Linked DNA regions of Styela clava. The protein of the gene in region 2 binds, or shares a complex with, the protein of the main gene of each other region. Links are inferred from orthologs where the notes say so. Each region holds a gene or a part of one and is shown on either strand. Other genes may lie near its edges.

Region 1 (15,928 bases), on a different chromosome or scaffold from region 2:
TATTGTTTACCCATAATTTGGCTCCTATATAGCCTATTCAGATCAAATGAAGGTTTTACTACTGGCTAGGTGGGAAACGAAATAGTGAAAAATTTTTACATTTCAATTGTTTTAATAAAGTATCATAAAAACTTATAAATGAACGTGGACAATTTGAAGATTATCAACTCAACCTTCATTCACAATCACAAATATCTAAGAGATAAATTTTAAAACAAAATTGCTCAAAGCAGGAGACTGAAATATAAAGACTACTGATAACATAGTACATAGAACTTCTGCTGAAGTGTCAGAAACCAAAAAAGAAGTAAAAAAAGCTAAACTATTCTACAGATGTTGACACCAATGTTGGCGTTGCGGTGTAAATCATATGGCTAAGCCTTAGGAATACGCTCGCCACTGCATCTCTGATTACCCTGCGTGGGTTCGCAGATTCGGATTCCACGCGGGTATGATTATGTACGAGAAAATTGCTGGACTCCTCGCCGTCATAGGGTGATTCACGTAATCGCTGGTCGGTTACGGCTTCCTCCACCATCAAGTTCATCTGTTCATGGTCCCTACTATGGACTATGAACTAGGCGAGAGGGCGTGGTTCACCATTTATATAAGCAATCTTATCGGCTTTCTCTTCCCCGGGATAAATATGTAAATCCTATCCTAAGTTTGTATAAAAAAAATTACCTCTTTCTTACTGCTGCTTCGTTTTGTGGAAGATTTCTCTTTCTTTTTCTTCTTAGGTTTTTTCTCTTCTTCATCATTGTCCGAACCTTTTTCATCATTTTCATCTGAACTTGTATTCCGAACATCTGAATCATATTCATCTGCCACCTAGAATAAAGATGACAGAACAATTATCATCATCCTAAATATGAGTACCGTGAAAATGGGTCTTGTGGCATATATAAATAAATCCATAGTGCATGTGCAGTTGTAGCTGAGTTGTCGAATGATTTTCCTGACTGTCCGAAGATAACAACAATTTCAAAGGATTAGGAAAATGATAAAAAGTCTTTGAATTTTAATGAATCTTATTTTATATTTTCAACTCTTGCATTTTTTTAAATTTTATAAAAGTGATAATTTTTAGTATTAAGGTGTCCAAGGTGACAAAAAAATGTATTTTTATAAATAAAAAACAACAACAATCAGAGGCAAGAAACACCTTGTGAAGTAGCCACATTAGCTTTCATATATTGCAAAAACGACCAAGATATCATTTTAGTAAAAGATATGCAATAAAAATGTTTATCTTAATGTGTAGCCTACTGCAAAATATTATGAAATGTGCCGTCATTCTTATAGCAATAAAATGTTTGTAATATCCAATTTCAAAAGCACCTATCATAAAATCAAATGTGACTGTCCACCATATAGCAGAATGCAGCGTCTTCTGTTGCATAACAAATATGGGTACTCCCGTAGTGTGTGTACCAGGTTAGGGTTAGGCCATGATTTTATTCCGGTTTTCCTTATTTTAGTTCTAGAGTTCTGAGACTGTCTGTGTTAGTCAAGTGAATATCCCCCTGCCCATAGGTTTCAGTCCCTTTATACAACTTGATGTGAAGTAGGCGAACAAAATTAGTTACCTCCATATTGATACACACACTTCTGAAGCACCAAAATATGAACACACTGCAGAAAAAACTATCTGTATTTTAGTAATGAGTAAAAAATGCTGAATTTAACTCTTCAAATTTGTGACAAGGGGTAAATGGGAGAAGAGAGGTTGACTAACCCCTGTCGAATAGAATTGGCATTGAATCCTTTGATCACCTATTTGTAGATATCAAACAAATTTGATGAATCTATTTTCAATCATATTACTTTACCTCATCTGGTTCTGCACCAGGATTGAAGTCTTCATCTTCTTCTGAATCTTCATCACTGTCTCCTCCTCCATCATCTTCATCTCGATCTGCTGCTTCTTGCTTCATTCTCTCAAGATAAGCATCATGCTGTTCATCTTCTGAATCACTGTTTGCCATAATATCGATATTTCCACCTCCATCCTGTAAGAAGAATGTCAACTCAACCGCAAATTCAAATTACAGTAAACTTCGATAATGAAAAATTAGCGCATACCCTTGTATAATAGAATGTTAAAAACACTTGGTAAAATTAATGCTTTTCAGGTTTTGGTTAACGGTTTTCAATTAGTTTTAGTAAAAAATATATGAATTTTATCAACCAAAAAAGTCAAACCAAAAGTCCTTTTGCAATTTAAATTCGGTCCAATATTATATTATAGCAATATTATCTAGCAATCTGCGCATTGGGCTTATCTCTATTGACGCTGCTGTTTGCAGATTATTAAAGATCATAAGCTAAAACCTCATGGTCATCACCTATCTAGAAGATCATATACAATGGGAATACACAGCAATACTATTTTATTAACAATTCCATAGGTGTATCAGAAAAACTCACCACTCCTTTTCCAATGTTTTTGATCTTTAATTTTTTCTGACTCACAAAATCGAAAAGAGCAGGGTAACAATTTCTGTCGAGAAAACAATGTAAAGGTTATTAGTTTTAAATTTGCCAAAATCGTAAATCTATTGTTGAGAATCTGACTAATGTAATGTAAGATAGAACAGAATTTATGGTCAGTACAGTTGTGGTAGACACCCACATGCTAAATAATATCTACCCTATGATGTTATGATTTGAAAAGGGAACAGAATAATTTTTGAAATGTCAAGTAAGAGTGTGAGCTAATACTGTGCAATAAACTGCTGTATAAAAATATAAAGGATTTAAACCCCATAAATTTGGTTACTTCTAAAAATAAAACATGTGGAGTGTAGCCTTGTTCAGGGTAATAGTGTAAAAAATATGAAAAATGAGAGGGGATAAAATCAACATTACAATAACAGGCGCTCCAGTGTGTGTACCAATATGGAGGTAACTAATTTTGTTCTCCTACTTTACATCAAGTTGTATAAAGAGACTGAAACCTATGAGCAGGGGGGTGGGGTATTCAATTGCCTGACACAGACATAAATAAGGAAAATCAGAAAAAAATTATGGCCTAACCCTAACATAGTACACACACTACGGGAGTACCAAATATATAGGTTAGATTATAACATTCATTGACTAACTTTTCAATATTGCTGAAAACATAAGCAGTCTGACTTCTTGTTTCAATTTCAAAATCGAAGGATCTGCTGCTGGTAGCTGATCCACGAGCAAAATTCACGAAAGCAATTTCATCAAATCGAACATGAATCGGAGGTTTATGGACATACATGAAACCTCTCTCCAGTGGGAAGAGAAATCCTGATGATGCTTTGTAAGTACACATGATGGATTGGTCACTGTTTGGACTGATAAAAATATTAAAAAAACATTATAAACAAATGGTAAAACGTTTAACGACATAATTTTGATAAAGACCAAGTTATACGAAGAAATTTTGTAAGGCATCTCAAAATTGTTTCAATTTATGTCAATTTATTTTGCTTTCATTATTGTCAAATATGATAAAAGAAATCATTCAGTCATTCTGTACAAGAAGCGGAGATTTCAGGCCTGAATAACTGAATTCTGATCAAGTTCATTTTTAAACACCTGAATTCCTTAGACAGTCTCAAATATCAGATACCGGTACTTTGCAGAATTTAGTTTAGTACATTAACTAGGCCTATTTTTATATGTTTTACATGCTACTGGACAAGCTGGATTCAATATTTTCAATCTTAAATATCTTACCCCTTGAATGAACCAGGAACAGTTATTTTTCGTTGCACTAGATTTTTCATAACACGACTTACAACTTCATATATTGGCCCCGACATATCTTTTTGCAATCGATCTCCAAACTTTTCTTCAATTTCTCTCCTGTTTTAAACAACATTTGAAGGCAAGCAGTAAGCAAACAAACAAGTATTTTTATGCATTTTCCAAAAATGTGTGTAAAAATACCACTAAAATACCAACTGTTAGTCCGATACCAATTCCCTATCACCAAAATAATTGGGTATTAATATCAATATGCTGAAATACTATTATCAACTTATAGCAATAATTATAATTTTTGAAATATATGGTGCAACATTTTCAATTTCGAAAATTTATAGAAATTTATATTGCCCTAAAATATCATTAACACCAATTCTCGAAATCTTGTTATTTATTTACTCAGATGATTTTCAAGTGGAAATTGTAAAAATGAGTGAACACAAACCCATTATTTTCAAAATGGCATTTAAAATAAATTTAATATGTCATAGAATCTAACATAGTTTTCACTTTCCTAATATTTAAAATTATTAATCTCAGAAATATTACTAATAATTAATAGTCAACAAACATTGACAGGTAACAAAATGTTACTACAAATAACTCTCTGTGAGTATTGACAAAAATAATGATGTCAATAATATACAAAAACTGTTTTCACCATAAAACTGTTGTTGACCAAAATTTTACTCTGCTTCAACATTCTACTAAAAGAGCACCATTCTAAATAATATTAAAACTATGAAAAAAGTACTTACTCAGACAAAGTCATTTCTACAGACATTTCATCTTCTTTATAAAATAAAAGAACAAGGAAATGATATCTGGTTTGTCCTTGTCTGACAGGAGGATCAAGACTGACCTGAAATAAGTTTGAAAACTTTAAAGTAAAATATTTATAAATAAAAAAAAGCAAAAAAAAATTGAATAGACATTAAATGGAATACACCAATGGTTAAAATAAACAGATCTATGACAGAGAAAACAGAATAATGCAATAAACAAAGAAAAAAATTAGTTACTGCGTTTGTATTAAAAATTTCGAAATTACCACAAAGAAAATTTGTCTCTGATCTCTGTGTGGAAGTAAAAAGAGTCGTAGTATGGAAGTATATGTGATTTTGTAATCGAACGTCTTTCCGTGAAGTTGAACAAACTTTGGATACATTCTAATGTCATATCTACCTCTGTAAAAATAAGGCAAATAAAAACTTGAATCTTTTCATATCTAATTTTTTTAAGAAGAATGTTCAATAACATATATAGCTGTGACGTGAGTTACTTATAATGGCATAAAACCAAGCAATCCCTTCACAGATAATCATGCCCACATGAGCCCCACACATAGTACAATGTGCCAAAACAGCATGACGGAACTCAACTCAATTGGAAATTTCATTCTATATATCCTACAGCTAAGAAACAGTGGAATCAGAAAAGTATTTTTATCATAAAATGGTGCTGAAACTAATGATAAATCAACATATCGTGGCTAATGCTACGACCAATGGCCAACAGTAAATGAGACGCTAAAAGACAAAACACTTCAAATACATAACCAACCTTGGTGTGAGACATTGTAAATCTTGAAATGTACAAATGGCATTTCCTTTCGCTTGCAGTACATCAGCTTTCGATATAACATTATCACTGAAAACCTGTGGATTAAATTCGGAAATTATAAGGAATAAGTCTTGTATATTATTTTTAGTTTTCTGATAAGTACTGAAACTCAGAACAAACAAAAAATATAGGAGAAAAAACCTGCACAGTATCAGTTTCATCGTTTTGTGATGGCGGAACAAAAAACCTCATTTCCATAAGGGATAATTCTGCATCATCATTCTGATGAAATTCTAATGAAACTTCGTTTTTTCCTGGTGTACATTGTGATACATTTTGCAATGGAATTTCAAAAGCTCTTTTTGAGTCAACATCAAACTGTAGTTCATAACCTATAAATTGTCATAAGTCTTCTTTTAATTTTCATATCGTTAAAAAAACAGAAATTAAACATAATATCATTGACATTCTCAAGTCTCTATACAACAGTAGACAAAAAGTGAGCGATTATTACAGGTTATACTTTAAAACAACCCATTCAAATGCCCGAATATTCTTAAATAATTTAAGTCATAAAATATTACTTCAATCATATTATTAAAAGATCTCATGTCTGCTACCTGAATTAGCGTGCAATGAAATATTAAAGATAAAATTAAGATTCCAGTTCTTGAAAATATTACGATTACAACCAATTTGAAAGTGCATTTTTGTGTATGGATTTACTCAGAGTGATAGTTCAATCACATATGATGACAAATTTGAAACAAAATGTAGCCTACCATTGAATGTTGTATCACCCCAGTTCCATCCTTTCGCAGACATGTCTTGTTGTTCAATTGTAACATTGTAATTATTTTTCACATGCTTATTGATCTTTTCAAACTCCTGAAATTTGTATGTTATTGATATTGTATTAATAACCACAACACAACAATCATAATATCCCAAACATGGTGGAATAGCATATAAATTTTGACAATGTTTGAAATGATACAACTATCAGTAGAGGTGCGCGAGACTAACTCCCAATCCTTTCTCAATGTCTTTGCGCCAGTGGATCTGTATGCGTGTAACGCAAGAATGCTGTAGCAGGAATAAAATTGCATATTTTAAATGATAACTGGAAAATACCAGCATATCCGTTACAGGAAAGAAAAAAAAAATGGTTAATTGGGGATGCAAATTTTTCACTATGTAATTACGGTACTCAGAAAATAAGTTAAGCTATGATACAGCATAAAATATTTGCAAGATATATACCGCCTCTTTGAATCCATCGTATTTGCAAGAACGTCCGTCTGTCAACTCAAGTTTCAACTCATATCCCCGAGCAACTCTTCTCCACACAACACTCTCTATGTCGGATAGTGGAATTGTTTCAACTTTTCCAGTTTTTATATTTTTGAAAACGACATTATTATTGTTAAGCCGGAGTCTACCTTCATGCTGAAAAATAAATACCATTTAAATTTATAAACCGATAAAATATCCATATCATATGAAGTTATTGTCCTGCTTAAAACATTGGGAAAAAAATATGAAAACATCACAAGTTACAGATCGCTGGTTCAAATCCCATGATCTCACCTCACCAGAGGTGTTACTAAATTAGGTAGGCAATGCTGTCCCTGAAATAAAAGTCAGTACGGCACAGTTATAATAAGATTTTGCATAATCATCCCGGAGGAGAAGAAAGCCGATACGATGGCTCAATCATAGGGTGAACCACAGTATCTCGTTTAGTTACCGTACGAGTCCATGACGAGTATGAGATTAGTTAGCCAATTATTTGTTTGAGATGGATGAATTTGGTGTTGGAGGAAGCCGTAGGTACGGTAATTGACCAGCTTGCCACAGTTACCACCCTATAATGGCAAGGAGTCCAGAAATCCTCTCGCACATAATTGTATGGCATAGCCTACTGCAGCACTGTTTCACATTTGACACCAAACAAAAACTTTTTATTGTGATTGGGTGGCTTACCCACTTTGCGGCCATGACCTATCTGCGACCATCAACTTCATCGATTAAATTAATGCCGAAAAAATTAACGAAACGCGCCGATATTTCTCACGCGTTATCGTCCACTTATCCCTCGTAGCTCTACGAAATTACACTAAAATGCGGCCACAAATAAAAAAGTTATGCCCGAAAACCTGACCGAAGAAAAAAAACGGACCATTTTACCATGTCGCCAACTACCCATTGTTCCTTCAAAAAAGCTTGAAAATCCATACAAATATAAGAGATAAAGAGATGAAACTTGGCAGGTGGGTAGAGTTGTGTTTCTTTTACCCATCTTTAAAGTTTCGCGTTTCTATCTTCAAAGGAGGGGGAGTAGGGGGGTGCGCATTTCCAATACGTCAATAATATCTTTGTCAACTAATTTGCGACCACCGTGTTTTTGTCTGTTTGATTGCTGTGATGCGGTGCTTTGTTTATAATTTGAAGAATTTTGTTTGAAATAATCGTGTTCTTAAAATATATGGCGGTCAGAAATGCAATTAGAAGCCCTTTTTTTCACGCATGGCTGCGTATGCCCTAGTCTCGACGCAGCAGAAACGATGTTCAAGGCTTGAAATCCGTGGTCGCACACTGGTCGTTCGGTCGCAAATACGTCTTCAGAGTGTCGAACTTTGGTGGTTTGTATAGCTTTAACCCCTGGTTGAGAAAGTTAATTCGAAGTTCAGCGTGTAGAATAAATGCCAATGCACCTACGGTGAAAAAATTAACGGGTTAGAAATATTGGTTTTTGTTTTATAGCGGTTTGAATGAAATCGTCCGCAGACTGGCTACACCACCCTATATCACAGAATAAATTTCTCATGTATCCGATAGTCTAGATCAGATACCGGTACCTAAGTTTTCGATTCGAAGAACTGAAGAATAAACCCCCACATTAAAAGACATCAATTATAAGAGTGAGTACCTATTCCTCCCTTACAAGACAGTCAGTGAAGCTATGGCTATGCGCAGTAAAGGCAAAATGATTAACAATGACAACCCATGATTGACTCACCAACGCGCCTCGAATTTCTTGATAAATATCACTGTAATCCAAAACGCTGGCCGACATGGCAGCTTTACTTGTGTACAGCAGAAGTAATCCAAAGTTAGATCTTCACCAATGAGGCAAAACTAGAAGTACCGGTACTTGTTGTAAAGACTAACTCTATCACAAAGCCTCAAGCCAACCTTGGTTAGATCAGAACAAAGTGACTATAAGTTATAGTATAACACTTTATAGTCACTTTGGATCAGAAGCCTTCAGTACATGGAGTGAATAGAGGGAAAATCCCGCGAACAGTGGTGCGTCCTCCAGCGGAATCTGTAGAGTTCACGAAAAAGTATCTACAATCAAGACTTTCTACAGAAACCTGAAAAGTCGTTTCCAACAAATAATTAAAGAAGACCCGCATTACTGTAATATGTTACCAAGGTTTTGTTCGGTATAGTTAGTGTAGCGGCCATGATTATAAACAGTGACCGCTATTATTGTAACTAAACTGGCAACGGTAACTTAGGGCATCGAACCCTGACCATTGATGTTGGCGGGATCTCTTTCGGCGTGAGCCGCTTGGAGGTAGGACGTATAAATTTGTATCTTAATCAATCGGGGGGGGGGGGGTTAGTATTATTAATTAGGCGTAGTTTAAATTTACATCATATAATTCTACTTCCTGTTTCGTATAGTTATTATTGGTCCCTCCTGTGTAATAGCACTGTATTTTACCGGATTTCTGTTTGACAACTATTGCACCATTATCTGACTACTATTTCACCAACTTTTGACTCAACAATAAACATCTTTGGACAATCATTTTGAACTTTGAAAGGAACTCAGACAGAACCGCGTCATCAAAAATAAAGTGCCTGTACGAGCTATTTATTCCAATCACTCTAACGAGCACATCGCCATCGTATGGTGCTGAGCCGTTATAGTTAGAGTCTTAAGTATACTGTATAACTGTATAAGTAAGAGTTATTATTGGACACGTTTAGTGGCAATAACGATCGTTTCAATATTATTGGACACGTAGTGGACATAACGATCGTTTCAATATTATGTTGTTCTTGTTCTTTGACACGTTTTTAAAAAGTCGCTTTTCTCTTCAAATACTGGACCAATTGCTTTGAAATTTTCAGTGGTTAAAGATTAATTTTTTTGCTAGAAGGCTATTACTTTTATTTATTTCAAAATTTTGCGTGAATTCTATGAAATTTGATATTTCGTCTAAAATTTTGCTGTATTATTTTTTATCCATGGGAACACGGATTTTAGTCAGTGTCATGACTGGCTGTACGTTTTGATTCTGCAAAATTCTTGCTACTGGAAATTCAGAACTTTTTTGAGGGTACCGGTAGCGTCAAAGGTACCGGTAAGGACTGATTCGCTCTGGTCTAACGTGTCCATATATTTGTGCGTAGCTCTCTTGTGTTGTTGTTGTTCTTTGACACGTTTTTAAAAAATCGCTTTTCTCTTCGAATACAGGACCAATTGCTTTGAAATTTTCAGTGGTTAAAGATTAATTTCTTCGCTAGAAGGCTATTACTTTTATTTATTTCAATATTTTGGGTGAATTCTATGAAATTTGATATTTCGTCTAAAATTTTGCTGTATTATTTTTTATCCATGGGAACACGGATTTTAGTCAGTGTCATGACTGGCTGTACGTTTTGATTCTGCAAAATTCTTGCTACTGAAAATTCAGAACTTTTTTGAGGGTACCGGTAGCGTCAAAGGTACCGGTAAAGACTGATTCGCTCTGGTCTAACGTGTCCATATATTTGTGCGTAGCTCTCTTGTTATTAAAGATATTGTTTTTGTGTTTCAAGTAAAAAATCACAGCGACTTCACCCCGACTGTTAAAACGTAAATATATACTACTACGTTAAAGCTATGTACACTGAAGAAATAATATTGTGTGTGTGTATATATCAGTGTTTCCCAACCCGAGCCCGCGGTCTCAAATGAGTCCGCGAAGCGTTTGAATGAGTCCGTAACGAGCCAGAAATTCACTGCGGGTCGCAAGCGATTTTGCAAAACTTAACTATCAGCCAAGTTACGATTTACGTTAAAATTTACATAAAACATACCAAGCAAGTTTATTCACATAACATTAATGGAGTCAATAATCACTGGTTACAGAGTAGCGCTGGGCATATATTCGAATATTCAAGTATTAGAATAGCAATTCAACTACAGTATTCATAAATTTGGTAACAGGTGACGCGATAGGTCACTTGCGGGTAGCTTAATTTAATCAAACGAGTGGATTTCACAACTCACTTGCGGATTTCCGACGAAAACACGCGCCGATAGATGACCTAAGTCCTAAGTGATATTTCTAGCGAGTTCGAACAACGAGGAATAAATTTTTTTCTGGTGTCGAGGGTTGCAACCCAAATTTCCTTAATTGAAAAAAAAGTAATACTAAAAATAAAACGAAAAACACCATAACTTTTGTTTTATGATTATCCGCTACCGATTAAAAACGCTTGCAAATCGCAAAACTTGGTTGCTTCACTGCTACCGTAGTATACCTACCAGGGCATTTTCCCTTAGGATTCTTTGCTTTACTGCCTCGACATTGGTACGTGCAGTACAGGAGCGCCGTAAGTGTTTTAGAACAGCTCAGATTTGTCGAATCCACAAAAATGCGAATCAAAGCAAAATATAATGGGGCACTTTACCACGCATTTTTGTGTCCACGGATTGTCATGAAATTTTCTGAGTAGTATTGCTTTTATTTCGTCAACACAACCGCAGATTAAAATGATCACAATTAAATTAATAATAATAATAACCCAGGGGGGTTCGACCTCATCTCTACTGGCTGGGTCCCCAAGGTGGCGGATAGGGGAAACACCTAGGTAAAACTAGGTCAGCTGTGAATATTCAATAAGCAGCCCCGGACCAAAAAGGTAAAATTTAAAATGATAACTCGACATAAAAAAACTACATAGAGGCTGGGGCGACGCCCTCTATAAAAAGGTCCCAAAAAAACATTGTCAGTATTTCTACTGACACACTCTCACATCACGATATAAGTGGTCCCTCAACAGAGGATATTCCTCAACCGAGCCCCATACGTGAAATATCGGAAAGAAAAGAAAAAATTAAAAAACATCGTTGGAAACGTGAAGAGTATATACAAGTGATGGAAGCGTACTACAGAGCTGTGAGCTCTTCCCCAAAATGTATTACTAAACAAACACTTACAAATTGGCTTGAAGGACCCCACTCTTTGAATGTCCAAAATATGAAAGCAAATGGACTTGCAAATGTCCGACGGGATATAATTTGAAATAACCGACTGACAGATATAGAACTGAAATCCATCAAACAGAAATACTTGGGATCAAGGGATATGAGTCAAAATGACAATGTACATGACGAAAATGGCCTATGTGACAATGTACAAGAAATATTACAACTGCCATGCATAAACTCACCTCAACAAGATTTTAAAAACAGACTCAAATTGCCAAAATTACAATTGACGAAAGAAACTAAAATCTGGCTAGCAGAAGGCAACGAAGCTATTGCCCTTTTGAAGCAAGATTTGGAATTTGATCTGGATGTTACTGAAATATCAAACATTATTTATGCATGTTCAACTATGGTTACTGAAAAAGTTGGAGCAATAATTAGGAAACCCACTGGACCAAGGCACAATTACAAGGCAAAATGGAAAGTAAGAATTGAGAGCCAAATTAAACAAATGAGAGCAGATTTGTCTATCTTATCAGAAATACAAAACGGTAGTATTCTTAATAAACGAACAATGAAGAAAATAACAAATCGGTACAAATTAGATGGGTTACACAGTAATATTGCGGTAATCAGAGAGAATCTAAAGCAGAAAATACAACTCAAGGCGCAAAGGATGGATGCAAAGACCAACTACTAGTAAATAAAATGATTTTGGAAAATTGCAGAACTTATCAAAAACACATGAGTACCGCATGGATTGATTACAGAAAAGCGTTTGACAGTGTACCGCATTCTTGGCTTTTAAAGGTATTCGAAATTTACAAGTTGTCACCTATCCTAATTCCTAATCTCTTTTTTCAAAATTACAATGAAAAATTGGCAAACAAATTTGATCCTGAGGCACAATGACGGAAAGATACAAAGTGACACCATTTCGATTTCATGCGGAATTTTTCAAGGAGACTCGTTTTCACCTCTTGCGTTCTGCCTTGCCTTGGCCCCGCTTAGCACTTTGCTGAAAGAAACCGGTTGTGGCTACGAAATTTTGAAACAAAAAATATCTCATTTATTTTATATGGATGATTTGAAGCTGTATTCTAAAAATGATAACCAACTTGAAATGTTATTGAAAACTTTGAAATCATTCAGTGATGACATCAAAATGACATTCGGCCTCGAGAAATGCGCAAAAGCATCTTTTCGCAAAGGTAAATTATTTAGAGAATCAAATTTACAATTAGATCAAGAAACCTCGATAAAAGAACTCGGTAGCGATTCAACATATCGTTGCCTTGGAGTACATGAAGCTGATGGAATCAGACATGAAAAAATTATCAAAAAGGAATATTTGAGAAGACTTCGATCGGTTTTGAATAGTGAACTTAACTCTGTAAACATCTTCAAGGCAATTAACAGTTTTGCAATACCAGTAGTTTCGTACAGTTTCAATATCATCAAGTGGACTAAGCAAGAAATCAAACAATTTGATACCAAAACGAGAAAACTAATGACGATAAATAAAATACATCATCCTCGAGCAGACACTGAACGTTTGTACTTATCACGAAGGGTGGACGAGGTCTGATTCAAATTGAGGAAAGTTACAAACCATCTACTGTAGGACTGAAAATATATTTGACCGATACAGAAGATCCACTAATGCGCATCGTGCGAGATTTCGATAAAAATAAAAATAGGCGTTTCAATCTTCAACAAAACTGATGAATTTATGAAGAAAACTGGTGTTACTAATTTCTTAACTGAGAAAAAAGGTGCAAACAAGATGGCAAAAGATGTCAAGCTCAAGTATAAGAAAGAAATTTAAAAGCAGAGACTAAAAATTTGGCATGATAAACCCTTTGCATGGAAAATATCCCACTAGAGCATGTGCACTGGATGTAAATGAACAACAAACGCATAAATGGCTAAAGAGTTCAGGTCTGACTAAAGTAGTTTATGCAACTTCATCGCCCCCCTGCACTACAAAAAAATATAAAGTCAGAAACGAATATATTACAGACCAAATAAGAAGACAAATAATAGTTTGTGATGTTTTTTAATGAAATAGATGAGCTTGGTGTTCTTCAGCGAGTTATTTATTATATCTAAAATTACCCCGTTTACTGATGGAAAGGTGATTTCGTTGTTTTAATAGCAATAGTAGCACGGCTGAAAACCCCTTTTTCATCATATAATAGATCGAAAATGAAAGAATCCAGGGTTCTACCTCCTCAAAAACCGCCGCGTACTCTTGCCTTATAGCATTTCACTTCCTAAATTCACCCCATTTCACATTAAAATAATAAAAACAAAGTTAATTTTCCCAAACTTATAATAATGATTTTCGTACATTTGTTTTTGGATTCATTGACTCGAATGTGGAAGAAGCCGTGACTGACTATCGGCTACGCCCAGGGGTCGGCAAATTTTATGTCGCTCGCAGGACAAAATTCAGGGTTGCTAGTCTTTTGCGGGTCGCATATATTTTTTGAAAGTTAAAAACGGAACAGCACGCAAAAACTGCGACAATTCGTGAACTCAACTCAGTCGTCTTATTAAAAAAACATTACAATGATATTTAATGTGACACTGTCTCGTTGCTGCATCACGCTGGATAGCTTTACGACGCCAAGATTGAAACATTTTCTAAATGGGCATCACCAAACCCCCGTCTTTGCTTGTTCTTTGTAATGTTCATTTTCGAAAATAATGATTTGCACAAATATGTACTTCCGAACATTGAAGTGAATATTTTCGCATGATTTGTGAAATTTTGATAAATATTTTCTCTCTAAGAAGATACATTCTTACAAAAATTAAGCAGTGATGAATCTCTCGATTAGAATATGAATTTTATTTTCTTATTGCTTCGCAATATATTCGAATATTTACTGCGCTATTGAACCCCTGCACTCAGCATCAACTTTTCTGCGTGTTTCCATTTGTCTAATTATAATTACATTGTAGGCTCGTTAAACGAGTGGCTGTTCACTAGATTGTTAGGATATAGTATAATTTAGTCTGAACGTGTCTCACGATAAATTCTGTTACTTAAAAAAATGTAATTTACTCCTCGAGCGTAGATTATAAATAAAAAATTTTCATCGTCAAAACCGCCGTTTGGATATTTACCCGGGCATAGACTTCCTTGTTTACTTCGTGACATTGGCCAATCAGCAAGATGCAAAAAAAGGGAACAATGCCCCCTTTCGCATCCGCTCAGGCGCTCAGACACTCTCACTCAGACAGATTTTCAGACGTGGTCGTGAACATTACCTCATTTTCGCATTTTTGGATTATATTCGTTAGTTTTTAGTTGTTTTTCGGAACTTAAAATATAAATCAAATAAGTCAATGATTACTTTGTCTTTCCATGAGTTTCAGTTTAAATACAGCAATCAAAAATTAGTGTAGAAATAGCTGTGATAGACTAGGCTAAAATTCTTTATCGGTACTTTTAAAAAACAGATTGTTGAATGGTGTGTATTAGAATGATAGTTTGAAACAAATACCCCATTTTAAAGGCAACAACTCGCGAAACCACTCTTAAAATAAGCCCCGAAACTTTTAAAATGGTATGTATGGGAAGAATTTTCCGCAGTCAAAGGTCGGGGAAAGGTCCATTCAATGAATCGTCCAGGGCCAGATTATTTTACTCCGGCCGTATTTTGCCGATCACTGGGATACGCAAACTACCTTACCTTACTGCGAAGACGAGACCAGAAATCCATTCGCGTGGGAATATCGCCCACATGATTCAAGCCTGCCAATGCACACAGAGTACAGAATTAAGTGCGCCGAACATAAAACAGGTTTCGCGAAATCGCCCCCCTATCGCCCCCTTAGACTTTTTCGCCCCCCTCTGTATCGTTTTCGCCCACTGGGGGGCGATATCGCCCACTTTGGGAATCACTGGCTATTCAAGCAATTTACTTTATTTATACTTATATTTTGGAAATATAATCTAAACCTTACTACATAAATATGGCAAGGTTCACAATCGTGAAAAAGTTTCTGGTCTGCTGTATGAATTTTAATTGTTACGTGTCGACGAACTTCTAGAAAAGATGCCATTTTCTGAAAAAAAAAACACAACTCGGAGAAAGCGTGCATGAACGTGTTGTAAATATAAAACATTTTAACGAATTAAATGCGTTCTGGTTGTTACGATTTGTCCAGCTCATCAGTACCTATGAGTCGCTATCCAAATTTGGGCTGCCTGAAAATAATCCGGGGTAGCTTTTTTTTTAGGAAAATCTTTAAATTTGCGAAACTATAAAAAACTATTCATCACAAGAATTAAAGTATGGTGTCTCACCTGAAAATTAGGGCGGCGTTTGAAATTCCAGGGGGGTGTAGGGAAATCACTGCATATAACGATAATTGTTTTATATTAGT
Region 2 (16,301 bases):
TTATTGGTGATTATTGAAGTCAAACTTTTCTATATAAACTCAAAAAAGTCTTCCTAAAAGTCTATTATATTAAAATGGATTGCAACGCCAACAATCAAAGTTTTATTATGAAAATATGATTTCTCTGGGAATTCAATGCTGGAGAGAAAATTTTCAACCCAGATTCAAATGCATTTCAAATCTGAGTTGATTTGAATGTGTGTATAAATAATCCTTAGAAAATATCTTACAATTCTTTAACAAATGTTGAGTCATTGTTTGCATAAGCCTGGTTGTCGACTCGTCCAATCCCACTGAAAAACGACAGAATTTTTTTTTGATTAAATTATAGCATGTGCAGTACAAAAGGTTGCAAGACAAGAATATGTGGCACACTATGTTGGGTAGAAGTTCCTAAAACTGAGATGCAAGTCAAATCACGGGTCATTAAAATCTTGAGTCAAGTCCGAATGAATTACTGAGTTGAGTCTCACTGGCAGTTAGTTGATGGCAAATGGCAAGTCCAAGTTAATTTTTTGATATCTTCGACCCTTCGTTAAGTCAATGAATAGAGCAGGGGAGGGCAAGGTTTCTGGACCAGGGGCCAAAAATTTTGCCTAACTAGACTGGCAGGCCATGTAAGTGTGGCGTAAAAGATACATTTTATGAACAATATTTGCAATGTTACAAAAACAATAGGCCTCGTGCGAGAACTAGATTAAATCGCAATCTCAACCAATTTATTGAGCTGCTATATTTTGGGTAAAACATCAAAATCTGGATCAAGTTTGATTGTGGCAGCATCAGGCCAGATTTGGTCCGCAGGACGTAGTTTGCCTATGTCAGAAATAGAGCCCCCCCTAACACTGGGGCACACACCCCACCTACGATGATTCTGTGATAAAGATTTACACACAAAAGACACAATTAGAATTATTTCCAATGCAATCACTACAAATTAATATTGGAAAAAAAAATTAAAAAAACTAACCTTCCTGGGCAGAAAAAGTTGATTCTCAGGTATGAATAATCACCTTCTGTGCTCATACTGATATTCTGCCAAAAAATAAAAGATTTTGAGAAAAAAGATTCTAACTATTGTGAAAAAAATCTAAGACAAAGCACTAGTTACTCATACCTTTACAGTAGAAATGTGATATGGCGTAGGGAGACCAAAAATAGGCAGTACTACGGTCTCATATTTTTTATCGATGAAGATTTTCAGATCATGAATGTCTGGTTCTTTGAAAGGCAACAAGGAAGAAGACTTGTAAGAGACATTGGATTTTTTAGACCTGAAAACAAAAAAGTTTAAAATATAACATAAATGGAAGAAAAAGACAAAATACAGGATAGTAATGCTCATATAAATGGATGCTAATGTCAGAGGTAATACTCAAAATGTTCCAATAAAATAAAATCATAAAATTTTAGGTGAAAAATAGTTTTTCATAGAAAATTGAAGAAAAGAAAAGTAATAGCCTTCTAACAAACTCTCCTTTCTCCAATAAGTGTTGGAAGTTTGTTGTAACAATCGTTACAACTTACATTAGTTGCAATGAATAGCGAGTTACACAAAGCAAATGAGAGATCCACTTTTATGGAATTATCATTTGCTCCTGAAGTCGGAATTTTAAGACAAAAGTCAGACAAAAAACGACTTTCAAACACCCACACCAGTTTTTTTCGTGGATTCGAAGTTATGAAATCAGAAGCAGAGTCAATTTAACATATACCGTGAGGATTGTACGTCTTCCTTGTTATCCATCATTCTCTTCTTTGCTTCGTTATTCAACTGATTCGATAATTCTTTCTGATGAGATCGACGTTTCTCTTCCAGAGTTTGTTCTTGCTGGAAAAAGTTATGTCGCGTTATGTTTAGATGAAAATTTAACAATAATTGCCGATCGAGTGTGATTATTAGATGTTTATCCGAGACGAGAAGAACTTAAATCTGGGTCTTCCAAACTGGGGTCCACAGTGATGACTGCACCAGGGGTCGTGACGATATGAAATGAATCTGGTCGATATTAAATGATTGATTTCAATGTGTCATTTTGATTGAGCGCTGCGGACGAATTGTGAATCAATTGCTGTCAGAAATGGCAATTAAAACTTCATTGCCTTTTGCGACAACCTACATGCAGACATGTGTGAGGCAGCATTTTCAGCTTTCACCAATATGATGACAAAGTATTGTACAGGTTGAGAATTGGGAGTCCGTCAAAAATAAGATTAACAAAAAAAGGAGTCCGCAGCCAAAAAGTTTGGGAAACTCTGATTTAGATGACCTAACTGTGTAATTAGCTCATGGTTGCTTGAACAATACCTTCATTCCAAAAAAATTAGTATAAAAAATGCCTGTCACTTCAAACATGGATCTGTTCATGCAGTCATTCCTAGGTGGAAAGACCGAAACTTTTCTGGCTTGACATTACCTGTCTGAGATGCCAACGGATGCCCCAGGCTAGTGGTTCCTACACTTTTTAATATCGTTTCCCCTAAATCGAATTACCAAAATCCCAATTATCCGTTTAATAAAAATACAGTAGTCAGTTAGTACAGTTCTTAGACCAAAAATTATGATAATACTAACACCTATTGCATCATTCGATCAGACTTTAAGATGCTAAACTTGCCGTAGCTTAGCATTTTAACCTACTATTCGTATGGTGAAGTATTACAATAATGTCCCTACAAATCGTGTGACTTAGCTGATTGACTAAATGCGAGCATTGAATGTCAGGTTTTTCGCAGACTAGTCAAAAGTATGGGGATTTCTAGTTCTAGTTTCCAAAAAGTCGCAACCCCATACTTTTTTTTCAATAAGTGTACAATTACCCTTGTTTTCTCCTTCAGAACTGCGTTCCTTGCTCCTCTCCCCAATAACTCAGCAGGTTGTTGTTCTTCTTCGCTTTCTTCCTCGCTTTCATCCTAAAACAGGAAACGTTTGAAGGATAGGGGAACATAGATATTGTAAGGAGTTGAAAAAAAATAACAAGTAATACAACAAAAATAAAGTGTAAATATCCTTAACAAATATCAACTATTCAGAAGATCTCAACAATTGATAATAGAATAACATCGATTCCAGCCAAAATATTTTCAATTTTATCGTTAGGCGAAAGCTGGATATGCAAGACGTTTTGTATGTGATACTTATTGGGTGAATTTTATTATTGCTATGAAAAGCATATCAATTTAGGAATAATGAAAACGACCAGTCAGTCATCCAACATTTCCCAACAAAGGAAGAATTCCTCCCCAGAGAGTAATTTTACTGTTTGAGAAAAAAATAAATTTTAATTTGTATTTGGTGTAGTATCACTAAATATAAGTAATTTAGTGCCATCGTAATACATATTTAGGCACACAATAAAAAATATTCAAAGGCTTGAGTGCAAATTGCTAATACCACCATGCATACTGAGCAAGAATCAAGCATTTCATAGGCTATATATCGAAAATGGGTTGGAAACCACTGTGACTGCAGTGATCATACAGTCATTTATATTTTGACAGGAATTTTTGACTCACTTTCAAAAAAATCGAGATATTTTTCGCTCTCTTTTTATCTTTCGTTAAATTAGTAGCAGGAGCACCATCATTGACAACAACGGTATCTCCGATGAAGAGAGCATATTTTTTTTCAGAATCTTCTTTCGCTTCGTCATTCACCAAATTCGAAATTCCAATGTTTATATTGAAGACCATTCCTGTGAAAGAGGATATTTTGAATAATAACTGGGTAATTAATTGACACCTCAACAAATCTTTAAAATAGATTGCTTGTTTCAGACTAACTAAATTCGGTAAAAAAAAAATGATAGAAAATTGTATGAGAATGAATATTAAATCTAAATATCAAACAAAATCCTTTATGAATGGACAATTCTACAATCAAAATAATTGCTATTTTCCGGACCAAATGACTTGAAGTGCTCCAAGTTTCGATGCTACCAGTAATAATCGATGTTTAATGTAGGGCTACTCGAATATTAGCCTGCTTTACTAAAAGGAATTAAAATTTACCTTTCCTAGCCTTGATTTGATTTTTCCCATTGATCACATAAGTACTTTCTCTGAATTCAATTCCGCAACAAAATCCAAAACTTCTGGTGAAAGAATTCACAAGTTCTGGTTTCTCAGATTTTGTACGTTTTATCACCTCATTATAAACATCACACAAAGGAGTACCTGAGTAAATAAAAAACAAAGATATGGGCGCTCATCTAGTAGGCCAATGTGAATCAAGATGGCGGGCACCTGAACATAGTATGTGTACCAGGTTATGGTTAGGCCATAATTTTATTCCAATTTTCCTCATTTTAGTTCTATTACGAGTTCGGGGACTGGCCAAGTGACTCTCGTAGTATTTGTACCTGAAATTATGGCCTAACCTGGTACACATACTGGTTCTGGTGTCCGCCATCTTGGTTCACATACTACGGGAGTACCAATATAACTATATATAAATTATATCAGTACTTGAACAGTACCTCAATATTTGAGAATTTTATCAATTAAAACCATATTAGATAAATTACCTTGTTTTTCAGAGTACCTAACCTCAAATTTTTAACAGTTGGTTTATTAATAAAAAAAAATTTCAAAAAGAAACAAAAAAATAGTGGTATCAAAACCGAATCAAGAATTACACCAAATCCCAACCTCGTAATGGAACTAGAATAAGGAAAATCGGAATGAAATTATGGCCTAACCTGGTACACATACTACGTGAATACCCAGATTTCAGCTCCAACTCACCATGCTGCAATTTTTCAAAAATAACTTCTTCCATATTGAGTAGAAAAGTATAAATTTCTTGCATTTTTTCTGTCGGATTGACCATCAATGTCCGAACAACATTGGAACAATAGGAACGATATCGGACTCCGAGCATACAGATGATCACACCAAACTGAAGGGTATTCTTGTCACTGAGTAAAATATCAGGATGATACAGATTACACATACATATTTCATAAAACAGATGATAATGCTTTTTGCTCCAAACAAGGCACTGTACAACCACTGATATCTAATTGATCTTTGTTTGGCTCGGCGGTGTGTTGCATCGTGCTAAGCAATAGGAATACGCTCGCCACCTCACCTTTTGTTACCCTGTGTGAGTGCGCAGGTTCGAATCTCATGCGGGGATAGTTATGTGCGAGAGGATTGCTTGACTTCTCGCCGACATAGGGTGGTTCACGTAACCGCTGGTCAGATACGGCTTCCTCCACCATCAAGCCCATGCTTTCGAAAACGAACAACTGGCCAACTTACCTAGTAACACTGAACTTTAGGTTGCAGTTGCTGCCACTCTGTACGATGGGGGGATAACAAGACTCCACATAAGTTGGATCTGCTCCACGTAGATACTGTTTGTCCTCAAGAGATTTTTCAACGTATTCCGCTACTTTGAAATGCTTAACTCTCTGGAAAATTAGCATAAGTATAGTCATCTTGGTTGATTCTTAAAGAGATGGCTAGAGTGTAGAGACAAATATCATGTTTTGAAATGCGCAGGGGGTTGTGCGATAAACTGCCCATCCTTCGTTTTACGTTTTATGTTCTGCAGGATCTGTTATTTGACTCGTGTTACAAGGATGCTTGAATAAGATAAAGTCAGGAGTTTATAGCGACAGGTGAATACAATCTCATTCCATATGCGTGAAATGAGATCTCGCCAATTTGTTATCATGGTTTCACTGTACCAACACCATATCTTAATTCCAAAGAAGTCCTTCTTAAACATCAATAATCATCTGGACAGAACATAGAAAAACCTTAACATAGCAAAGATTAATTCTCTTGGAACATTATGTATGCAGAGTTTTTCGTGAATAAATCAACTTGAACACGGTACGAACCCTATCAGCATCTATAACATCTTTCATATATTCTTTGAAAACTTTGCTATAAACTTCCAAGGTTATTCCTGATGCTTTTCTCAGTAGATTCAATTCCGATTCTTCTTTGACTGCCATTATTGATGCCACATTTGCTGATACATCAATCTAAAATTATGAAGGTGAAGTAATATTGATGAGACTCACAGACAGAGACAGACTTTTATCAAGTTATGATTCCACATTGGTAAACTGTTTTACAGTTTTTTTTTTTGCCTCACCCTGTATATATATAAAACATGAAGAAATACAGATAGAAATGAATAAAATATCTTCAAGAAACAAGTATATAAACAGTATACATATAAAAATAGTAGCTCAGCCATATAATTGATTTCTCAGTACAAAACTTGTAAATTTTTAAAAATAAAATGCCAGAGAATTAATAAAAGTAATAGCCTATATCTGAATTATATTTGAAGAAAAAAATACTGTAGAAAATTAGAGTAAAATAACAAAAAAGGAGCATTCCTGTGACATACCTTATTCAAGTTAGACTTTTTCAACACTTCATTCCATGCATCAATAAATTTGGACGAGAATTTATCTTTTGCAAAAACTCCTATTGTTTTACCCTGTAATGAAGAAAAATTAGTTTGAGTATAAGCTTCATTTCAAGAACCCGTGAAAGCATATAAAGTTATTAACCATAAAATAGCACAAATAAGGTAGGTCTAATAGACAGATCTAGGTGAGTTTATTTCATTATTTTATGTTCTTCTATGTTGTATGGTCTGAATATTTTATTAATTTCATACACTATTTAATCGTTTATTGCTAGTTACTGGTTTGTTACATTTATTAATTTGTCATACTATATGGATGTTTCAATGTCTGGAATAAATAACAATAGAGAAAAGCTTTCAAGAAATAATGATTTTAAACATGGAATAAAAATCTAACAAGAACTTCTCGCCAAAACATAATATATTGATCTTCTAAATCTTAATTAGATAGCAGAACATTGGGTACCGCTGCTCGATAACCGACTTTGGTTCGCCGCGGCTTCCATTCCCCAGTAAAATTATGGTCTTTACTTTTTTGCATATTTTTTGCATTTGTATCTGTATATTATATTACTGGTTGGAAAAAATATACTTGACTGTGACTATGAACCTACATTTTTGCTCGACTTTAAGAACTGAATGATTTTTTGGAAGTTTTCAGTGTTGTTATCTTTCTCCCTCTGAATTAAGTTGATTTCAGGAATTCCATTCGCATTTTCATTGTTCTTTGTATTTGCCGCTGGTTTCAAAAACTCAATCTGAACAAAAAGAATGTTTCTCAAACAAAAGACAAAAAATCAAAAATATTTCAACATAAGCATTTCTAAATATAATGAATATAAAACAAACAAAAAACTCTTACTTTCTTTTTACTTGCCATGAACGATATGCTATTCTCACAGAAAGCCAAGATCACATCAGTTAGCTCGTATCCAAACAACCATGTCTAAAAAAAGCATATAAAATATCTTAATAAAGCTATGCCTGCAGTAATGGCAGTCTGATTTAAGCAACAACAATTTGCTAGTGATTCAGCTATTAAGATTTTGAAAATCAAAATTGAGATATGACCTGGATAGCTGTAGATTTTGAGTAAACAACATCTTCATCACTTCCCATCGCCACGACAACAGCATCTGATTTAGAGAATCCGTCATCTCCACTAGCATCCTATATTCAAAAAGTCTTCAGCTTGTTAGCATTTTGAAAATATATGTACGGTAAATATTATGAAATATAACATACCGATCAAATCCAATTTATAAAATTTCAATTGGGAAACACAAAATGCGTTTTTGAGTATATACCGATACAAATCATTCATAAACAATAACAAAATGGATGCATGCGATCAAAAACGTTTGAATTTTTCTAAATGAAATTTTAAGCATAATCCCTACCTTCCAAGCAGTATATATTTTCTTGAGACGACGATAAAAAGCTTCTATATCCAAGGAAACAGACATGATGATGAATTTAGATTATTAGCATTAGTTGGTTCTATGCTAGAAACAGAAACACTTGTGATTCATGTTATATTGGAATAAGATATTTTCAGAAAAAATAATTCTAAGCAATTCAGATAGTCATTCTTAAATACTATAATTAGATAATTAAATTATTCAGTTGCAATTTTCGAATTGAAATTTCCAATTTTACCTAGTCTATGTATGGTTAGACATAAGTCAGAACAGAATAAATAAACACAAAAGGATATTGAAATGGAATTTCATTGTCATAAAGATAGTCCAAACAGATACACCAATGGATTAATATAACATAAATCAAGCCATAAAATTTTGAATTTCAACAGAATAAGTCTCTATGACGCGGCACTGATGATGGCTTCGTTGCAGTCTATTGCCACCTGCGCTTCAGCCTTTTCAATATCCGTTGTTGCTGACGATAATTCCGCTTGAGCTTTTGTTAAATTTGTTTTTGCGGCATTGACATCTAGTTGATCCAAAGCTACGGCCTCTTCTGCGGCTATTTGAACCGTAGAATCTTCGTTCACCGTAAAAGATCCGCTACTGACGAAAAACTTATTTGATTTTCCATCTTTTTCGAATACGGTTAGAACACCGGGTTTAAGTACTCCGAAAATAGGAACGTGCTTTGCTAGAATACCAATGACCCCAGCCCCGGTGGGTACATCAGCTTGTTTCACATCAGTGCTTTCATTGTAGAAGGCCTCTACTGGAGATGCAAACGTAAAAACCATATCCTCTGATTGTGCAACAGCCGGTGCAGCATCTGCGTAAGTTCTTGTGCTCTGAGCCACCAAACGTCGAGCTACAAGTCCAGTGCGGCAAAAAACACGGGCAGCAAGAGACGCCATAGTTCCTTATTTTTTATAGCTTGACGAAACTATACTAATAAATCTAAAGCAAGATTTTAGAAGCATTATCTACACTCCCATTTAACTTTAATGATAAATTATATTATCGAAAATTATATTATACCCGATAATTAGATGCATCATTACTTATTGATTTTAATCGGTAAGTATGTCGATAGGTATTTGTCTGTATGTTAGATGCACGCCATATCTCACGAAAGCGAGATTGAATCTGCTCCAGATTTTGCATGTGCATTCATCATATCTCGGACCAGAAGCCTATTGATTTCGGGCGAATTATGCCGTATAATTAGAGAGTTATTAATTAATCAGTGATGGGACACAAGGTGTCACTATGGAATAAGAGCGCTGTTTTGGGGGATCCCCTAACTTTCGATCGATAAGTCTTAGGTCAGAAAGACCGATATTCTCGTTTCAAATGTTATGAAAATGATAAAAATATCATGTTCAAATTTAACAAATATCTAAGACTTTATGTATCACATAATTATTGGGTTAGTTGGCTGTTTTTGTATTATTCCAGATGTATAGACATGATGGGTAGAAAAGCTCTAAACTTATAGCATTTTATGGCCTCATCCATGAATGGCTGTTGGACATAGACAGCAGGTTTGAATTTTAGAGCAGCTGCACGAGGTATACAAAGGCTATGGAGTGAGGTGTTTGTAAGGACTTGATCTTATTTTAATTATTTATTTATTTTAAATGTCTCCAGCATAAATAAAAAATGACTATAAATATGGCGATGATCTGTGTAAATTTTTGTCTCAAAACTTTTGAAAAAAAAAAATCATTAGTGCTAATGCCAAAAGTATAAAGAAAGCAAATATAACCAAAAGGGAGTAAAAACGCAAAACGAATGAAAACAAAAATAGCGGTAAAAGATGTCCGACATAGACCACCAGTTGAAACCACATACAGACATGGTGTTGAGAGTATCGATGGCAATTATAAAGACTGGAGATGACATATCGCTGTATTGCGAGCAAAATGTGCCGCAGTGCCAAACTGGATAAATACAGAATATGTGGAGAGCTTCTTCGTGGATGAAATTTTGGGGAATAGAATTTTGTGAGAATGTGGTTTTGTAGGAAAGGATTTTTGTGCAAATGGTTTTTTGCGGGGGGTAACCTTGTGTATTATGATGGAGGTATTTTGTAGTCAAAATATTTGAAAATACGAAAAGAAAAGAAGATGCAAAAGAATGCATCTTTTTTAAAAGGTCGTTTCATAAAAATATGGCCAAAAATCGTTTGCTTGCAGATTTCTTAATTTTCATCAATTATTTCAGTATTCTAAAGTCTTCTATGTCGATTACTGAGTTTAAATACATTTATACTTATAACCAAAAATTGCAATGCAAAAAGAAATTGATTTTTAAACTGAAACTTAGTTTCACTTGCTCAACTGGCAAGATTTAAGGTATTCAAATGTGTCTCATTTTTTCCGCATGGAAAATCTCTCAACAATTTTTTCAAGATGCAAATTCTAGAAAAAAATTTTTTTTTAAGTTATACAACAGTACAATCATTTCAGAATTCCCGCCCTGATAACTTCCAGACCTCCTAATTTGACAATGCCATGCCGCCATTGTTTCATTTCAGTACAGCAGTAGGCTGTGTACAGATGTAAGTGTCAACCGAGACAAAAGAAAAATCTCACCCATATTCTGATTTCCCTCTAGCCTTGGTCTTACCAAAATTATTTTTTAATACAATTTCGAGTTTATTACATTTTTTATCAATCCTAAATACATGAACGAAATCACGGCACAATTTGGCAAAAAGCACCGCCAACACCAGTTGGTCGACAGCGCCACCATTCAGATCTTCTTTGACCTCTGTGAGCCCTTCTTATTCGAAAGCAAATCGCTTAGTTGAAAATGCGAATGGGCGCGATTTCATAGCGAAATATGGATTGAATTTATGACAAATTACTTTGTTCTTCGATGACCGTGAGTCAAATTTTTGAATCGTTAATGCAAAAAAAAACAAAAAACAGAGAACAAACAGATTTACAAATACATACCAGTAATGACTGTAATTTTCGGGCTCTAGCGTCACCCAACAGTTTCATTTAAACAATGTATTATTTGGGACGGGTTTAGTGCTATCCACCGAAAGAAAAATCACTAAAACTGCTTGATCATATAGTGAAAGTGACTCTCGTGTTTGTTTATCATACCGGTTATGTCCAACAAACGTCAAGTATAGACTTCCGTTGTGCAGTTTCTTCATATAAGGTGTGTGTTGGAGTGCAGGTTATACATCTTTTTGAAAAGAAGACCTCAGATGGGCTAGATACGTTACTTTTTTGACTTTCCGAAAGTACGGTAATCCTCGGTTCAACAGTTTAGATAAGAGTTCTATTGATTTAATCAAGTTGAATATATAACACACAACTAGGCTACATGGTATCATACCAAGAGCGTGTGTCTGTTTAGACACAGGCGACCAAAGAATAAAATGAAAAATTTGTTCCAAACCCCAGTACAACTATTTGACATCTACGTGAACCAAATTCTACGGTTTAACGTTTTCGAAGTTAGTCTTATTTTTGACTTCAAGTTCCTAATTCTCGAACGAACTACGAGAAGCGGGGAATCTAATAACTAGAACTTGTCGTAAATAATTACCAAACTACATCTGTATACGTAGGTTACGTATATTGATTTGCTTTAATATGGATTAGAGCATGTTATTAGAATGGCAACACGTAGGTCTACACAACTCGACCAAATACAACGGAGGGAAATAATATTATTGGCAATGAATATTAGCCGATAATACTACGTATTTTTTGTTTTGTTCACAATTTCGTCTATCGTCCCAAACGACCAACGCAATGGAATACCAGTTGGCGCAAAACAGTTTTTAGTGTGTGTGTTATCATGTTCTTGTACCCAAGCGGAGTTATTTTATATATATATTCATCAGAATGTCGATGTAAAATTGTTTTTTTAAATCAAAATTTGCACAATCACCTATCCCCATAATCCATTCTTTTTGTATAAATTGGATTTCACCGCCGTATTTTGCAACGCCCTGGGCATTAGAGATAATCCGTTGACAAAAAACCTAATTTTACATTTTTAAACACCCGACATGCTTCTGGTAAATAACTTAGACGCCGATAGCTTCTGTCCAAGAGGGTTTGCGAATGGAAAGACATTGCTTCGTCGCAATAGTTACGTACATATTTCAATAAATAAGTTGTCTTTGACCAAAACAATAATGGATGTAAATTCGGGATTTATGGCACGATGGAAATATTCGCTGTTAGAAGGGGATGAAGGATCGATGAAAGAATATTTGAATTGTTTATTTTTTTCTAGGCTATATCATAAATAACATACGCAAATAATATTTTATTATAAATTATTCAGTGCTTAGACTGACAAAGTAGCCTTAGGTGGTTCTAATACCCATAATTTTTAAGATTTTTTAGGCAAGATCGAAGCATTGGCATTGACCGCAACAAAAATTAAGGTAATAAAATTAAAAACGTTGTAAAATTTGAAATTCAAAGACACGAAAATTCACTTATGATGCCCATCTAGCGGAAGGGACGTAATTAATGCAATTATTAAATTTCCTATAAATTTTTGAATGCTGACTTGTATTAGTTACTTAGAGTGAATAGTAAGACTCAGTCCCGTTATTAATGCAGGAAAGATTTTTCAGAAATGCAGTATGTGTTATATTGGTTCTGCCTGACTTGATTTGTCCCTAAATAGTATTTTGCAATTTGTTTACAGTATTAATAATATAGATACATATAGCTAATATACGTATACATGTAAATTTTGGAAATTATTGTGCAGCGGATACACATGTCTTGGAATGAAAGTCAAGAAAGTAAAATGGAATATTTTATTGACTGGAGGGTGAAATCTAATTCACAATCTGGAAAGGCATTCAACCACAATGTGTCAAAAGCTAACTCAACATATACAACAACAATTAAATATTATTTTCCAGAGGACCCGGTGGTGAAGTCCATATCATATTCAAATGTATCCAGGGAGGAGCAAAAAATACTACAAGCAATGTATAATTTTGAAAAGCCCAATATGACAATGTTGAGAATACCGTCATTTATATATACAATTTGCTGCATATATAATTTACTGATGCTGTTAAAGTTTTTTCAAAACAACCCCAAAATGGTCAAAAGAAAATCCCACCGTGGGAAAAATATTTATGGAAAACTACTTACAATTTCGCGTCTCTATGTTGCATACTTTTTATCAATATATTTCTTTTATAGTAGTTTTTCTTTCATACTCGAAAGCATGGAAAATATTGACTGTAATATTTTGGGGAGAGTTGAAAATATGCTTTATTGGATTAGTATTTCGTTAATCTATATTGTGTTATGGTTGAGGCAGCGTGTTATATACGGTAAGCCGGTTTTAAAATATTTAGCGTCAAAAGCGACGTCCAATTTTAGCAAAGCAGCTTTAATTACGGCATTGATTTTGCCAATATGCAATATTTCTATCTTTTGTTGGGCAACTATATTTGCCAGATACAAAGGAGTTTGTGCGATTGTAGGATTAAGAAATATACCAAGTATCGCCCTCACTATTAGTGAATTTTTCGTTCCAATCTATGTACCAATTACATTATTAGGTCTTTTTATATGGCCTTTGCTGCGCCATCATGCAAACACGAGACAAAAACCAGGAGATCGGAATTCCGTGATTCGCTGCCTTCCAAAACTGATCTTGCTAACAACAGGTTGTCTTGTAACAGATACGGTTGCAATGGCATGTAATTCCAGTATACCTATTATGTATAGCTTTATTGGCCGTCAAACTTCAGTTTTTGTGAATGCTTTATTTTTGAATCTTTCTTTTTCTGACTGGAGATCGGTAATGTTTCCATGTTCCAGGCGCACACATGGAAGGGAATTGCCAGGTCCCGGTAAAATTCTATTAATAAGAGGCAGTATTCTGTGGGTAGCAATAAAAAGGTCTTCAAATCGACCAAAGTGACAATGCTATCGACAAATTTAGAATATGAATACCACCGTGTTTGTTTACCATGATCCCTCGAAGGCATTCCGTTCTAACAACAATTCATAACCCTAGCGTGTCGCTTGACCTTTTAATTCTGATTATTTCTTAACAATATGTGTCAAATGGGTTAATTGCCAAGCCACCTGCACAACGATGACGCTTATTATTAACAAATATATACGTGAAATATCAATCTGACTGAACAACAAAATTTCTGATTTTCTGAAAGTGAAAGTTTTTTTTTGTGTGGTATTTTGCGTTAGGTGCCGTCGTCCATAGGCCTAGTTTGTTGCAATATGCCGGAAAGCAAAATGTTTTTTCTTACAGTTCCCGATTATTACTTATGCTTCATATGTATTACCTGAAACAAGACCTAACGGATTGTGTATAGAAGTCAAATGACTTTTTATGGGTATTATTTATGATCTACTTTATTTTGGTAGTCGTGTATTGTTTTCTATTTTATTTTTGTTTTAAATTTACTTCTTACGTTATTAAAAATGCATGTTTTATGTTTATATATATATACATTGTTCCAAAATATATAAAAAACTGTCGTCAGCTAAATATCCAAAACCACATAGGCTGTCTTTAAAGTGGCGTGAGTAGTCTCGAATCATGGGTATACCTGTGTGATAGGTACATAGAATTCTCGATGTAATAGACCCAGTGGTGGGATTCAAATTTTTTGTCAACCGGTTCCACCATACAAATGTTATATTTTCAGGCGGTTCTGTTACAAAAAGTCATTTAATGCTAACCGGTTCGCTGATCTCATAAAATTCCGTGAGATGGTTCTATAGAACCGGTGCGAACCGGCTGAATCCCACTACTGAATAGACCCATTCTGCATTTTGGGACCAAGAATGGTACCGTGTTTCCCGAAAATAAGACAGAGTAACTATCAAATATACGAAAGATGAAAAGCTTTTTCTATAAATAACATATATATTTTTGATTGAAAAAAATGCTACACACAGATTATTCAAAAAAATGACCGATCATCTGAAACGAGTATAGAAGAGAAATCTTGTTATCGACTAGGTCAAAAAAATATTCGCGATATCGACTAGGTCTTATTTGAGAAGGTGGGCGTATATCAAAATCATTTTTAAAATTCAGGCTAAGTCTTATTTCGGGGAAACACGATATTAAATCGCTCACTGGATTTCGAACCCATCTCGCGACCACGCAAAACATTTTGACCACGAAAACATAAAAGCGTATGCATAACCGTGTGCATGAATCACATGGAGAACGTTCATTCAACAAAATAGCAAACGCTGCAAAAGTTATAAAATCTGCACAGAACGACCATGAAAAACAACACGACAATTAGTATATATTAGTCTCGTTAAGCTTTCTGTTGAATTAAATGGAAGGTTTTTCTTATACCCACCTCCGTGGAAAAGCCAAGATGCCATTCGCCGAGTCGGAAAAGAAATGGATGGCGCGTCGGAAGCGCGCAAGAATGGAAATGATAATTCGTGGCAGCAGGTTGTATACATACCTGATGGTTGAATACAACAGTTAATTTAATGCAAGAAAAATGACTATTAGCATCTTCTACCTATCGAGAGATCAAAGTACGGACACGAAGATCACGCATCGGTACTTGTACAATAGTACTACGATGAGGTCTGGGAGCTAGTTCGCAAAGATCAATGCAGAAGGGTCGGGTATTACCGATAAAAAGTTTTCCAATTTGATTTGAACTAAAAATGCAAAATTTTTGGTTTGATTTTGGGTATGGACAAACTACGGCCCGCGGGCCAAATTCAGCACGTTAGATAATTCAATCTGGCCCGCCCGATTCTGCCGAAACCAAAGTAAAATAAAATTTCGATGTTTCGACTAAAATATAGCTCAAGGAATCTGTTGAGATTGCGATTAAATTTAGTTTTAGCAAGAGGCTTATTATTTTCCACCTTTGCTTTTGTAACACTGTAAAAATTGTTCATAAAATGTATCTTCTTTTTACGTCACACTTACATGGACCGCCAGTCTAAGTGGGCAAAATTTTGGGCCCCTGGTTCAAAAACCTTGCCCACCCCTGTGTAAGACCGTTAGATGTTGAAATCGTTCTATCCATAGGTTGCAGAGAAAGACAAACGAAAACAACAACAAGGTAAACCCCAACAGCAACAAAATGAATTTAACAAATGACCCATATATATATCATATATACTTCGTACTTTGTGTCTAATGATGCCAGTTTGAGTGATATATATGTTGTGAACCTCAATGACCGAAAACCGCTAAATTACCTGGTGGGTTTGCAACGATACCGTTACAAATATAACGCTCACGACATGCGTTAATAATTGAGCAAATTCAAAACAGGATCGATGCTCATTCGATTTTCTCAATAGTATCAGGGTATGATACAATAGATACCTATAAATATTGCGGTTAGATTGACGCGCGGAAAGAATATTCGTGAAACGTTAGGGTTTCAAACAAATGCTACGTGCATCATCTTTCCGCACAATAATATTTTGGGTAGACAAGATTTTGATCGA

Evidence for each region.
Region 1: FACT complex subunit SPT16-like (region 2) and FACT complex subunit SSRP1-like share a complex: the UniProt entries of both Drosophila melanogaster proteins name them as parts of the FACT complex. The link is inferred for Styela clava from reciprocal best matches to the Drosophila melanogaster genes dre4 and Ssrp.

What each region holds. Positions count from the first base shown.
Region 1 is NC_135254.1:10,876,356-10,892,283, forward strand, and holds the start of FACT complex subunit SSRP1-like, read right to left. Parts: upstream 8,598-15,928; 5' UTR 8,390-8,597; coding exon 8,333-8,389; intron 6,760-8,332; coding exon 6,574-6,759; intron 6,199-6,573; coding exon 6,093-6,198; intron 5,703-6,092; coding exon 5,512-5,702; intron 5,406-5,511; coding exon 5,311-5,405; intron 4,935-5,310; coding exon 4,799-4,934; intron 4,610-4,798; coding exon 4,506-4,609; intron 3,847-4,505; coding exon 3,718-3,846; intron 3,333-3,717; coding exon 3,108-3,332; intron 2,504-3,107; coding exon 2,431-2,503; intron 2,013-2,430; coding exon 1,833-2,012; intron 832-1,832; coding exon 685-831; intron 1-684. Other genes in the region: uncharacterized protein LOC144422860, read left to right, coding at 12,399-13,115. UniProt on the Drosophila melanogaster protein: Component of the FACT complex, a general chromatin factor that acts to reorganize nucleosomes. The FACT complex is involved in multiple processes that require DNA as a template such as mRNA elongation, DNA replication and DNA repair.
Region 2 is NC_135262.1:5,709,856-5,726,156, forward strand, and holds the start of FACT complex subunit SPT16-like, read right to left. Parts: upstream 7,921-16,301; 5' UTR 7,864-7,920; coding exon 7,798-7,863; intron 7,568-7,797; coding exon 7,469-7,567; intron 7,344-7,468; coding exon 7,260-7,343; intron 7,156-7,259; coding exon 7,012-7,155; intron 6,467-7,011; coding exon 6,374-6,466; intron 6,000-6,373; coding exon 5,853-5,999; intron 5,418-5,852; coding exon 5,266-5,417; intron 4,920-5,265; coding exon 4,747-4,919; intron 4,177-4,746; coding exon 4,012-4,176; intron 3,696-4,011; coding exon 3,517-3,695; intron 2,914-3,516; coding exon 2,821-2,913; intron 1,832-2,820; coding exon 1,716-1,831; intron 1,275-1,715; coding exon 1,118-1,274; intron 1,036-1,117; coding exon 971-1,035; intron 294-970; coding exon 231-293; intron 1-230. Other genes in the region: ATP synthase F(1) complex subunit delta, mitochondrial-like, read right to left, coding at 8,220-8,735. UniProt on the Drosophila melanogaster protein: Component of the FACT complex, a general chromatin factor that acts to reorganize nucleosomes. The FACT complex is involved in multiple processes that require DNA as a template such as mRNA elongation, DNA replication and DNA repair.